Linked DNA regions of Callithrix jacchus. The protein of the gene in region 3 interacts with the protein of the main gene of each other region in a pairwise test. Links are inferred from orthologs where the notes say so. Each region holds a gene or a part of one and is shown on either strand. Other genes may lie near its edges.

Evidence for each region.
Region 1: the proteins of BMAL2 (region 3) and EPAS1 interact in binary tests that used the Homo sapiens proteins (3 or more experiments, as listed by UniProt). The link is inferred for Callithrix jacchus from reciprocal best matches to the Homo sapiens genes BMAL2 and EPAS1.
Region 2: the proteins of BMAL2 (region 3) and CLOCK interact in binary tests that used the Homo sapiens proteins (3 or more experiments, as listed by UniProt). The link is inferred for Callithrix jacchus from reciprocal best matches to the Homo sapiens genes BMAL2 and CLOCK.

What each region holds. Positions count from the first base shown.
Region 1 is NC_133515.1:68,421,217-68,424,844, forward strand, and holds part of EPAS1 (endothelial PAS domain-containing protein 1), read right to left. Parts: intron 1,921-3,628; coding exon 1,769-1,920; intron 1,370-1,768; coding exon 1,285-1,369; intron 1-1,284.
Region 2 is NC_133504.1:141,310,416-141,314,043, forward strand, and holds part of CLOCK (circadian locomoter output cycles protein kaput), read left to right. Parts: intron 1-3,328; coding exon 3,329-3,481; intron 3,482-3,628. UniProt on the Homo sapiens protein: Transcriptional activator which forms a core component of the circadian clock.
Region 3 is NC_133510.1:43,898,924-43,903,314, forward strand, and holds the start of BMAL2 (basic helix-loop-helix ARNT-like protein 2), read right to left. Parts: upstream 2,809-4,391; 5' UTR 2,794-2,808; coding exon 2,583-2,793; intron 2,407-2,582; exon of another isoform or gene 2,086-2,406; intron 1-2,085. UniProt on the Homo sapiens protein: Transcriptional activator which forms a core component of the circadian clock.

The DNA of each region.
Region 1 (3,628 bases), on a different chromosome or scaffold from region 3:
TGTAGGCTTAGTCTCACTGCCTCTGTTAGGTTGGACAAGCACAAGTCCCATGGCAGTGACAGGTAAGGATGTTAAAGAAGACATCTAGGCATGCACAGAATCTGCCCAGACCAGTGACAGACCACAGGTTTAGAAGGGACCTTGACAGTCATTGAGCCCTACTCTGCTGCCCAAAGCTTCAGTCCTCTTAACAATGTCTCCATTCATGCTTTTGTTGAATGGCCAGTTATAGGAGAGGAAGCTCCACTGTCACTGCAATGTGCTTGCAGCCTGTGTGGGTCCTCTCATCCACTGGCACCTGCTGGGTATCCCCATGAGTAAGGTCCTGTACACCGGATCTTTTTAAATCTCTTCTCTGTCAAAACCTACCTGACCTATGTCTCCTCAGGGCACCATTTCCTGCACTAGCTCATCTCTGAAAGTGGCTCCAACGAGCCATGCCTTTCGACATGGCCTTGTGTAGTTTCCTCCCACACTGAACCAGGGCCGGCCTGTAGCGTGCTCTAACCAACAAGATGGGGCGGAAGTGATGCTCTGCCAATTTGGGCACAAAGCCTTGGGAAGGCCTGGCAACTTCCACTTTAGTGCTTCTTGGAGCCCGGAGCTGCCACATGAGAGGTCTGGCTACCCTAGAGACACCATATGGAGAGAGTCTCTATGACTCCATGGAGTGAGAAAACAGTCCAGTTGTCCCAGCATCCCAACTAAGCCCATTCTAGCCACCTGCCATAAAGTCCCAGTCGTGTGTGAGCCATCTGATCACCCCAGGCTATTCTGACCCCCAGGTGACTGTAGCCCAGCTGACATCACGTGGAGCACAAGAGCCACCCATTAAACCCACAGGACCCTGGAGATAATCATCAAAGCCCTGTGTTTCAGGTAGTTTGTTACACAGCAGTAGATAACTGCAGGCATTCCTATGAGCACTTTGGCACAGACTAGTTTGTCATTGGTTTGGGTGGTATCATTTGGCAGAGACGCTTGACTCTTGGGTGATGAAATGTCCTAGAAACAGTATCCTAACCCAAAGGAGTCCCCTAGTAGTGGGACACCAGCATCATGCGGGACCAGCAGGAGATATTTCTGAGTACTGGGTCCTCTCAATGCCCCAATCTCATCTCACAGGTTACACGCTTAAACAGAGGGCCAGCTTAGCTAATTTTTTTAAGGACATCCATTTTTCCTGCATCACAAGGGCCATGAGCTGTCTCCCTTATAGACAAAGTGGAGGCAGATTCCCACCCAGTGGGGGCAAGAAGGAAGTAAACACACAATCAAGGATACCGTTTTTGAGACTCAGGTTCTCACGAATCTCCTCATGGTCACAGGGATGAGTGAAGTCGAAGATGCTATGTCCTGTTAGCTCCACCTGTTTCAAAAACAAGGTTAGGCTGCATTATTCCTAACAGTGAAGTAAAAGACTCCAAGAGAAGGCTGAGCCACCTTCCAAATATGGAGGCAGGGAGGAGACTGAATCAGGTTTTCTCATAATCTCAGTCCAGTGTTAGGTCCACAGACAGAAAGATGTAATAGGGACCTACTGATGATGACAGGTCTATTAATTAGTCAGTAGAGAGCTGTCCACCAGGCTGGACATTAGCAAAGCCAAACCCAGGGCTTGCGGATGGCAGTGTGGCCTGAGGTCAGCGAGGGTGGCAGTGGCCTTTGCAGGGAGAGGTCAAGTGGGATTGTGGCTAGCACCTTACACTCATTTCTGTCCCCGAATGGAAACATTTCTCCTTTTGAAAGAGACAGAGGAGGGTGTCACCTGTGTGAGTCCCATGAACTTGCTGATGTTTTCTGACAGAAAGATCATGTCACCATCTTGGGTCACCACAGCAATGAAACCCTCCAAAGCTTTCAGGTACAAGTTGTCCATCTGCTGGTCAGCTTCGGCTTCAGACTCGTTTTCAGAGCAAACTGGAAAGACAGTGGGTGGGACAGCTTGCATGAATGTGGAGTGAAAACAAGTGTGACTGGCACAGGTAGGCATTTGCCAGGGATGGCGCAAAGGCATCAGGTGGACTTTTCTGGAAACACACACTGCCGACCACCTGAAAGTCTGCCCCAGCCTGGCAGTAGGCACTGGATGAGCACCGCTGCACAGAGGACACCCTGATTGGGGCTGTGATGACAGCGTGCTTGTCATGACAACAGTATTTGTGGCACTAGTAACGGCAGCAGTAGTAGCTGTGGATATAATGGTGGTCGTAGTAGTAGAACAAAAATTTTAGCAGCTAATATATATTGCAGTTACTACATGAAAGGCACTGCACTAAGAATCCTATGTGATCTTCACAATGACCTACGAGGGAGACACTATTTAATCTCATTTTACAGATGAAGTATAGAGAGGTTAAGCCATTTGTCCAAAGGTATAAAGATTGTAAAGCTAGCAAGCTTCGACAGCAGAATCCAGAAGCTATTCATAGGCTTTGGAGTTAAACACAGGTTCTGTTCCTAGATCGGCCTCCTATTAGGCTGTGACTCTGGATAAGTAACAACCTCTTTGAATATCACTTTCCTCATTAGCTAAATGGAAATAACAATTTTCATCTCTGAATTGTAAGAATTAGATAAGTACGTAAAGTGCCTAAAACAGCGAATTCAATAACAGTGAATTCTTTCTTCTTTCTGCTCCAAGACACACACTATCCTCAAATTGCTCAGATCCCAGGTGAGGAATATGTAGCACTCAGAGATGCAAAGCTAAGTAAAAGTTCAAGGGTGTGATAGCTGGGCTCCCAAGGAAAAGTATAGATGGGAAGAGCGCTAAGGGTCAGAGGAGGAGGAGATTGCTTTGGGGCGATCACAGACAGCTAACTATTCCAAAGAAGTTTTAAAGAGATTTAGAAACAGAGATTTCACTCTGTAGAATGAAAGAAGGGCCTTCTGAACCAGATGGGATTGGGTGACCAGGGACTGAGGTGAGGCCCATTTGGCTGAAGAGGAGAATCCATTTCCCAGTCTTAAGGATTTGGTGTGGTGAGGCTGGCCCAGTGTCCCAGAGGGGCCTCACATTTCAAGCAAATGTGAGCAGAGGAGTGCATCTCAAAGCATTGCTTTGGGGAGATGAGTCTGGCAATGGCATACAAAATGGTTTGGAGAGAGTGAAACCCAGACGTGCCGAAGAGAGTGAGCAGGCAGCTGCATCCCCGGCAGGCTATACCAGTAGTTGCTGGGAGCAGCCTGGGAAAGCTTCCACCCCTAATCGTCCACACTTTGAGTATCCTGGCCTATCAAGTATACCTCTGCTCTCTGAAAAATAAAGACCCAGCTCTTATCCAGACCAAAAAAAAAAAAAAAACTTCTTGGGCCCCAGGCCTTTGGTTGTTGTACACAGACCACAGGCTTTATTTCAGCCTTCTTCTCCTAGTTCATTATTTAACTCTAAAGACATTTACTTATGAAAATTTGTATTCATTTAGTGCAAATGTCAATCCAAGTATGCCTCACTTGATTTATCAAACAAGGGGATTAGAGAGTAATTTGTCACTTGCAAACATTAATATTCACTTAACAGGAGCCTTTCAAATGGAGACTATTCTAAGGAACTTAAAATGCAACAGTTTATGGGCCACTTTGCAAGGGACATATTGATGCTGTGAAATGTTGTTCAAGGGTCTTT
Region 2 (3,628 bases), on a different chromosome or scaffold from region 3:
AATTGTTTCCTAAGTCCAGAAGGAGGCCTAAATGTGGAAAGTAGCCAAAAAAGGGGGAGTAATTCCAAAAGTGACACTCTTACTTGTAGCCTAACTTCCCAACTTGTAATATATGACTCTGTACTCATTCAGTGCCTCAAACACATTAAAAATACCACAGACCGTCTCTACTAAAAATAGAAAAATTAGCTGGGCATGGTGGCGCATGCCTGTAGTCCCAGCTACTCGGGAGGCTGAGGCAGGAGAATTGCTTGAACCCAGGAGGCGGAGGTTACAGTGAGCCGAAATCACGCCATTGCACTCCAGCCTGAGTAACAAGAGTGAAACTCCGTCTCAAAAAAAAAAATACCACAGAGAAGTAGTATTTTTCTTCAACTTCTTTGCCTTGTTTGGCATTAAATATACCCTAACTTAGCAGTATCTTGATCTTAAGGAATGATCATTAATAATAGGTTAAAAACAGTATTTTTTAAAAATAGCTCTACATATATAACTATGATAAGAGATACATACTTTCTATGTTACTAGTTCTTTAATCTCAAGATTCTAAAGCATTTCTTAACATGTTATAGGGATATTTTCATGAAATAAAAAATATATACTGTCAAAAATGTTAGCAAGTATTCATATCTCACATTTTATTCACTAATAAAGCCAAATGTTTTGCCTCTTAGTTCTGTGATTTTACTTCCTGTTGTCCTGCCTTCTGTGTTTACTATTTTCTTTTTGTATTTGATAGAAATCCTTTAAGTGATAGCAATATAATGCTTACCCAAAGGAACAAATAACTTTAGTTATAAAAAAATACATTTGTATTACATAAACGTAACTTTATTTTTATTTTTTGAGACAAGGTCTCACCCTGTCACCCAGGCTGGAGTGCAGTGGTGCAATATCAGCTCACTGCAACCTCTGCTTGCTGGGCTCAGGTGATCCTCCTGCCTCAGCCTCCCAAGTAGCTAGGACTACAGGTGCACGCCACCAAACCTGGCTAATTTTTATATTTTTAGTGGAGACAGCGTTTTGCCATGTTGATCAGGCTGGTGTCAAACTCCTGGACTCAACCATTCTACCCGCCTCAGGCTCCCAAAGTCCTGGGATTACAGCTGTGAACAGCCATGCCCGCCATAAATATAACATTTTGACTAGTACAAAAAAATAAAGCCTTGAGGGAGTTGAGGTACTAAATTTTTAATATTTTCTCAAACCTAGTATAATTTAATATATGTTATGGTCTGATTATTGTTAATTTCTGAAGTCAAGAGTTGTCTGCTTTGAAATGTAATGCAGTATCCCAAATACAAACTATTGAAGAGAGAGTTAAAAAGCTTTGGATGGGAAGGACATTTCTCACTTTTACATACAGTTCGCTGTAAGAGGCTACTTTAAGACAGATTTCCAGTAAAGTGAAATTCTGCTCTTATACTATATCATACACTGAAAATTCGTGGGACTAATTAAAGAGCCTGTATAGACTTAAGAGATGAATCACCAAATGTGGCTAAATTATAAGCAGAAGAAAATAGGAGCTGCTCATGACTCAAGTAAAACAGAGAAATAAGTAAGATTGAAAACATAATTTTGTTTTCATTCCTGTATGCATTTATTTACTCATTCGTACTTGTGTAGTCTTTGAAAGTTCATGTTCTGTTAAATGAAAGTTGCCAGGTGGAAGTCCAAAGAAAAAAAAAAAGGTCATGTTCTATATGTGTCTGAGGATAGCTTCCATTGAAGTGAAAATATTATTATTGGTTATCTGTCAGATTTTTATAACTTTGGGTACTTCTACTCATGTACATATAGAGGACATTCTAGGGATGACAGAAATTGATAGGAATTAACTCCAGGTGCAGACTCCTTTTTCCTTTGTTGAGGGGTAAAAATGAAGCTAAGAAGTTAAATAAGGCTGGGCATGGTGGCTTGTAGGAGGACTGTCTGAGCCCAGGAGTTCAACACCAGACTGGGCAACATCATGAGACCCCATCTCTTAAAAAAAAAAAAAAAAATAGCTGGGCATGGTGGGACATGCCTGTAGTCCCAGCCACTTGGGAGGCTGAAGTGGGAGGAATGCTTGAGCCTGGGTGGTTGAGGCTGCAGTGAGCCATGATCATATCACTGCATTCCAGCCTGGGTGACGCTGTCTCCAACAAAAAAAAAAAAAAAAAAAAAAAAAAAGGTTAAATAATTTTTTCCAGTAATTGGTAACCACAATATGAGCTCAGGTCTCGTAAATCCAGGGTGTGTGTGTATCAGTCCAGATCCAGTGAGAAACCAGAAGCATACCAGAAATTTGAATAGGAATAATATAAAAAAATTATTAACTGGCAACAGGGATTAACTCCTAAAAGAAGTAAAGAAAACTTAAAGAATACAGGAATAAGGCTGGGTATGGTGGCTCATGCCTATATTCTCAGAACTTTGAAAGGCCAAGGTAGGAGGACTGCTTGATCCAGTGAGTTCAAGACCAGCATGGGCAACATAGCAAATCCATATTTCTACAAAAAATATATATATTTAAATTTGTTAGGTGTGGTGATGCATGCTTATAGTCCCAGCCACTGAGGAGGCTGAAATGGGAGTATCTCTTGAACCCAGAAGGTCAAGGCTTGCAGTGAGCCATGATTTGCACAACTGCTCTCCAGCCTGGGTGACAGAGCAAGATGGTGTCTCAAAAAAAAGAATATGTAATTATCAGATGCAGAGAGCAGCCACTTAACTAAGACAGATGGAGAGTACCCAAGGAAGGAACATTCTTAGAAGACTCCCCATAAGCTCCTAACCTCTTCACCTCCTCTTCCCCCATGCCAAGCTGAGATGCAGATCTTCTTGGGGAAGATGTGGCTATAACAAGTGGATAATGGAGAAGTTCACTGACATGCCACAGATTAGAGCTAGAGAGCTGGAAACCAGGCTGGGGTACTGGTAAAGCTTGCAGGGAAGCTGCCCACTAGGATGTCATTGAGACTTGCTGGAAAGCCGCCAGCTAGGGAGCTAACAAGCCTAACTGGGAAGCTTCCCACTGGTACCCCAACACGAGAGCAAGAAGAAAAAGCACCAGAACCAGGAGTCCAGCACCTTTGTTTGCAGTATCCGTCCAGCACCATCTACTGACATGGATAACTTTGTGCCTGTTGGCAAAGGAGAAATATTTTTAAGGTCCAGGTCCAATATCACAAAGCAGAGCAAAGGTGGGTGGATTAGGAACTAAGAGGCTTAACTGGCATAACATTCTTAACTCATGTTACACTGCTTACTTTTCTCGTTGCACAATTATAAGGAGTAAGTAATTCTAAAATATGTTGTTATTTTTCCATATGTGGTACTTCAGTTTCAGTTTTCAGCTCAATTAGGAGCCATGCAGCATCTGAAAGACCAGCTGGAACAACGGACACGCATGATAGAAGCAAATATTCATCGGCAACAAGAAGAACTAAGGAAAATTCAAGAACAACTTCAGATGGTCCATGGTCAGGGGCTCCAGGTAATTGTTATATTTGAATACAAAGCAAGCATCCCATTCATATTTTGGATTTTTGGGAAAATTAACTTTTCTTAATTAAAAGTGAGATGCAAGAGATACATTTTATCAATTCTGTTCAATAAATATTCACTGGTTACCTACTCAGTA
Region 3 (4,391 bases):
TTCACAACGATAAAGTACACTGAAATCACTCTTATCCTACTGACATTTTGGCTTTCCCTATACATTTTAAACATTAGTTTTTGTTTTTCCTGGAGTCAAACTTTGATGGAGTGTCAGTCCCTCCCCTCCCCTCCCCTCCCCTCCATCTCCTTCCTTCACTCTCTCCTTCTTCCTTTTCCCTCTCCTCTCTTTACTTCACACTTGCCCACCTTCCTTCTTCTCCCTCCTCTCTCAATCTTTCTCGCTTCCCTTCTCTCTTTTCCTCCCCCTTAAATATTAATTAGCCCATCCTAGTTTATCTTGAGTCAAGCATTCCTGGCTAAAATTTTGCCCAAGGATCCATGCCAGGAACAGCAGCTTATGAAAGATTGATTGGGACATGACTTTTGATTTCTGACTCACAAAATGAATTTAAACCACTATAATTGCAGAACTACACATAAAAGAGTTGGATCTTATAATATCATAGGCGAAAACATGAAATGGTAAGAAAAGGGAAGAGGAGAAAGCTGCCCTGCCAATGCCTTGACCCCAGATCATCTCTGGCCAGCAGTCTTGGAAATGTGATGCTCCCCAAGACCACCCTCTTCCTAACTCCAAGGATTCTGGAATCATTTATCAGGAGACCCAGTCACTTGGCAGCATGCTCAATTTCGGTGTTTACCGTCTAAAACAGATGGGATGGGGAAGCCCACAGTTTGGCTTGCACTGTTAAAACAAAAACCTTAGACCCAGTTTTGTAGAGGGCCACCAACTGGCCGGGAGGCCTGTTTATGTTTTCCCTCTGGGGATAGGGAGAAAGAGTAAAAATATACATACATTGTATTTTTCCTAGAGCCTTCCATTGAGAATTTTATTTTCTTTTAGATAAACAGGTGTCTGGAAGTGAGCACACTTGCTCATTAGCACCACCAACTCAGATGAGAAAGAAACCAAAGCAGTATCATTGACCCCCATGGATTTTAACTAGTTGTGTCACATCCTGGCTGTATAAATGTGAGCCAGCCTCAGTTTTCTCATCTGTGAAATGGAGATACCACCTACATCACAAAGCTTCTGTAAGACTAAAGGAAGCACCCCTTGTGAAATGTCTGGGACATCTTAGGTACTCATCAAACCTTCAGGCTCTCCCAGCCTCCACAGAAACATTGCTACCCTTAACTAAGAAAATTCAAGTGTTATTATTCCCAACTTTACATTTGATATGCAAAGAGCAATCTAAAATAGTTAGATAAATAACAATAAACTTTATCTAAAAGCTTGTATGTTCTAGGTCCGTAAGAATTCTCTGGGGAAAGTTGTTCTTTGAATTAGTAGGTGCATTTTCTTCCTTCTTTCTTTCCCCCATCCTTTTCCCCTTCCCCTTCCTCTCTCCTTCCCTTTCTTAATGGACCAGACAGGACTCACCAATTTCACAAAGCAAATTGGAGTTGTAAATTAATAACTACATTAAGCTAATGTTTTATGAAATACTATTTCCTCAGCATCCGGCTAAGCATTTTATTTGTATTCATATCTCATTTAATCCTAGCAATCCTATAAGGTGGACTGCATAGTTATCTCTATTTTACAGATGGGAGAACTTAGACTAAGGGAATTCAAATAACCTGGGTGACACAGACAGTAAAGGGCAGAACTCAATCACAAGACAGAGCAAAAAGGGGGTCAGAGCTTAACACCAGACATGCCATCTTCTATTCTCAACAAAGGGTTTACCTAAAACTACTCATATTCAAATGACGGTATTTCTCAAATCTTCCCACGATCTAAATTCCCACAATTATATTAGAATTTCGAAAGCCACCTCCTCTCATGGCCTTATTTCCGAGAAGTATCTAAAACTCTACCACCTTATTCCAAAAGGAAAGGGGAAAATTAACCGCTTCCCTGAACTTCTCTGCCAATCTTCCTTTGTTATTTCTGTTTTCCTGCCTCCCACTGGTCTTAACAGCTATTTTATAATCATTCCATAATTGTGAGCAGTGGTCCCAAAGGCCCCGTTGTAAGAAACCACAGAATACGGCCGGTGAATACTAGCGAGATGGAGAAAGCACAGCAAACTCCCTACTCTGTTCACAAAAATACCTCAGAAATATATCATCGAACAAGCTAACTCCACTGACGACTTTCCTGAAGCTGCAGTGGTAGAAGGTGTCGCTGACGGAGGGCTGTCGCGGTCCCGGAGTGTAGCCCCCAGTCCACGCGCACCTGCCCGCCTGCGCGCTCCTCCGCGGGGCAGCGGTTCAAGCAGGGAAGCCGCGAGTGTTTTCAGCTCACAGGGGAGTGGTTCGCATGACCCGGGTTCCGTCCACGGCTGCTGACAATTGTTTTACACGAAAGAAAGAAGAGACGTAGAAAGTCCCCGCGGCAGTGCAAGCCTGGCCGACGCCGAGGCGGGCGCCCAGCGGTGGGCGGAGGCGGCTGATCCCATCCCAGGGTGCAGGGTCCGTGGCCGGCTCCCTTTAGCCAATGCAGCTGGCTCGGGACCCAGACAGACACCGCGTCCTGAGCGCCCGCGGCGACCCCGGGTCCCCTCCCCACATCCCGCGCCCTCGGAGGACGCGCTGGGGGCCGCGCCGCACCTGTGCCCCCCGGGGCGGCCTTGTTCCAGCGCCCCTCGGAGGCGACGCCGGGCCGGAGGGGACAGGGGCGGGCGCTTCCCTCTGCGCAGAGCGGGCAGACCTGGCGTCCCAGCGGCGCTCCCAGAGCGTCAGGCGCCGCGCGCCCACCCGGGGCGGCCGTCTCGCAGCCCGCAACCTCACCTCCCGCCGCAGCCTCCTCTTCCGCCGCCATCGCAGGCTCCGCAGCCCCGCGGCTGGCAACATGGAGGAGCCCCGGGCCCGCCCTGCCCCGGCCCAGGCGGAGGCTCCAGAGCGGGGAAGCGGGGACTGGCGGGCCCTGCCCGGTGCCGCGGCGGCCGCCACCGCAGCCCCTGGGCGCGCAGCCGACGCCTCCCCGCAGCCCGGCCGGCCGCGGTTACTGAGCATGCGGACTGGGGCCAGCCGCCCGCCGTTCTGGGCGCCCCGGGGCTCCCCGGCGGGAACGGGACCCGGGCGAAGGGCGGAGTCGCCGCGGACACCGCCCCGCCGAGCCCTCCCACGAGCCGCAAGGCGCTAAAAGGCCAGTTGAGTCTTTCTAGCAACCCGCCCATTGAAAACAGGCTTCCATGCTCTTGGTAGGCTTTGCCCCGGCGTTCCGAAGACTGCAGTTGTAGACCTTCGGGGCAGAGGTAAAGGGTGAATGAAGATCCTTGCACGGCGGGCTAGCGGAGGGCACGGGGCCGGGGTTGGGGAGGGGTTGCTGGACGAGAGACCCTGCTCTTTTCTGCTTAAGGAAGGGCTTAGCTGCAGAGACGAGGGTGTAGAGGATGGAGAGAGGGTCCCCAAGGAAGCCGTTTTGCCGCCTGGAATGGTTGGGTAAATCCAGAAACAAAATCTTTTGGGGATCACTTCACAGCCCTACATCCTTATGGCTAATGTCTAGAATACACTGGTTCGCTGCCCTCCCACTGCTCCCTGTTAAGCGCTCTCTGAATGAAGAGACCCCCTAAACATGGCTGTCTACTCACCTGGCTGCAGGTGGGCTGAGTCGAAAAGAGAGTCAGTGCAGGGTGGTGGGATCAGAGTTGTTTTTATAGGTTTAGGGTAGGCAGTGGAAAGTTACAGAAGTTACAGTTTAGGGAGGTTTTTGCAAGCTGGGAGGGGGTCGTTGGGTCTGGAGTCACGAGGTTGACTAAGCTTGGCTACAAAGTCCAATTGCCTTATCAATTGAGGCAGGAATAAGGAACAATAGAAGAATGTCTCAAGTTAATTAGGCGCTGCAGGGGTGGATCATTCTTCCCCTTTTCATGGTCTTCCAGTTACTAAACATTTTCTGATTCCAGGAGGCCATCCAGAGCTGTATGTGTGGATCATGAGGGTCACCATGGCTCGATTTAGGGTATTGTCTATGGTGTGGCCAGTTTAAAGAAACTTGCAGTCCCTAGACCCAAGTAGGCTTGGTAACCTAGTAGAAGTAGTAAAGGAAAGGCACAATAGAGAAGACACAAAATCAAGCTTTGCAACCAGCCTACATATAATAATTTTCCTACAAGGACTCAATTCCAACGTCTTAACCAGCAGCTTATGTGTCCTCAGGGCAGTACTTAGGGCCATTGTTAGAGTCTGGGCAAGGGGTTTGGAAGTATGTTCCCAAGACGAGTAGGCATGACAGGAGAAAACTGTTGCAGACTTAAGCAGGGGACTAGGACTGTATGCAGCTAGAGGTAAGGGACAGCTGCTGAACACTGTGCTGTCCTCAGTAACACACACCAAGACACATCCCTAATCAAAACCATTCTTGAAACATCTCACCCCTACCTTTGACTTGGAACTCCACCCCAAATTCTGCCA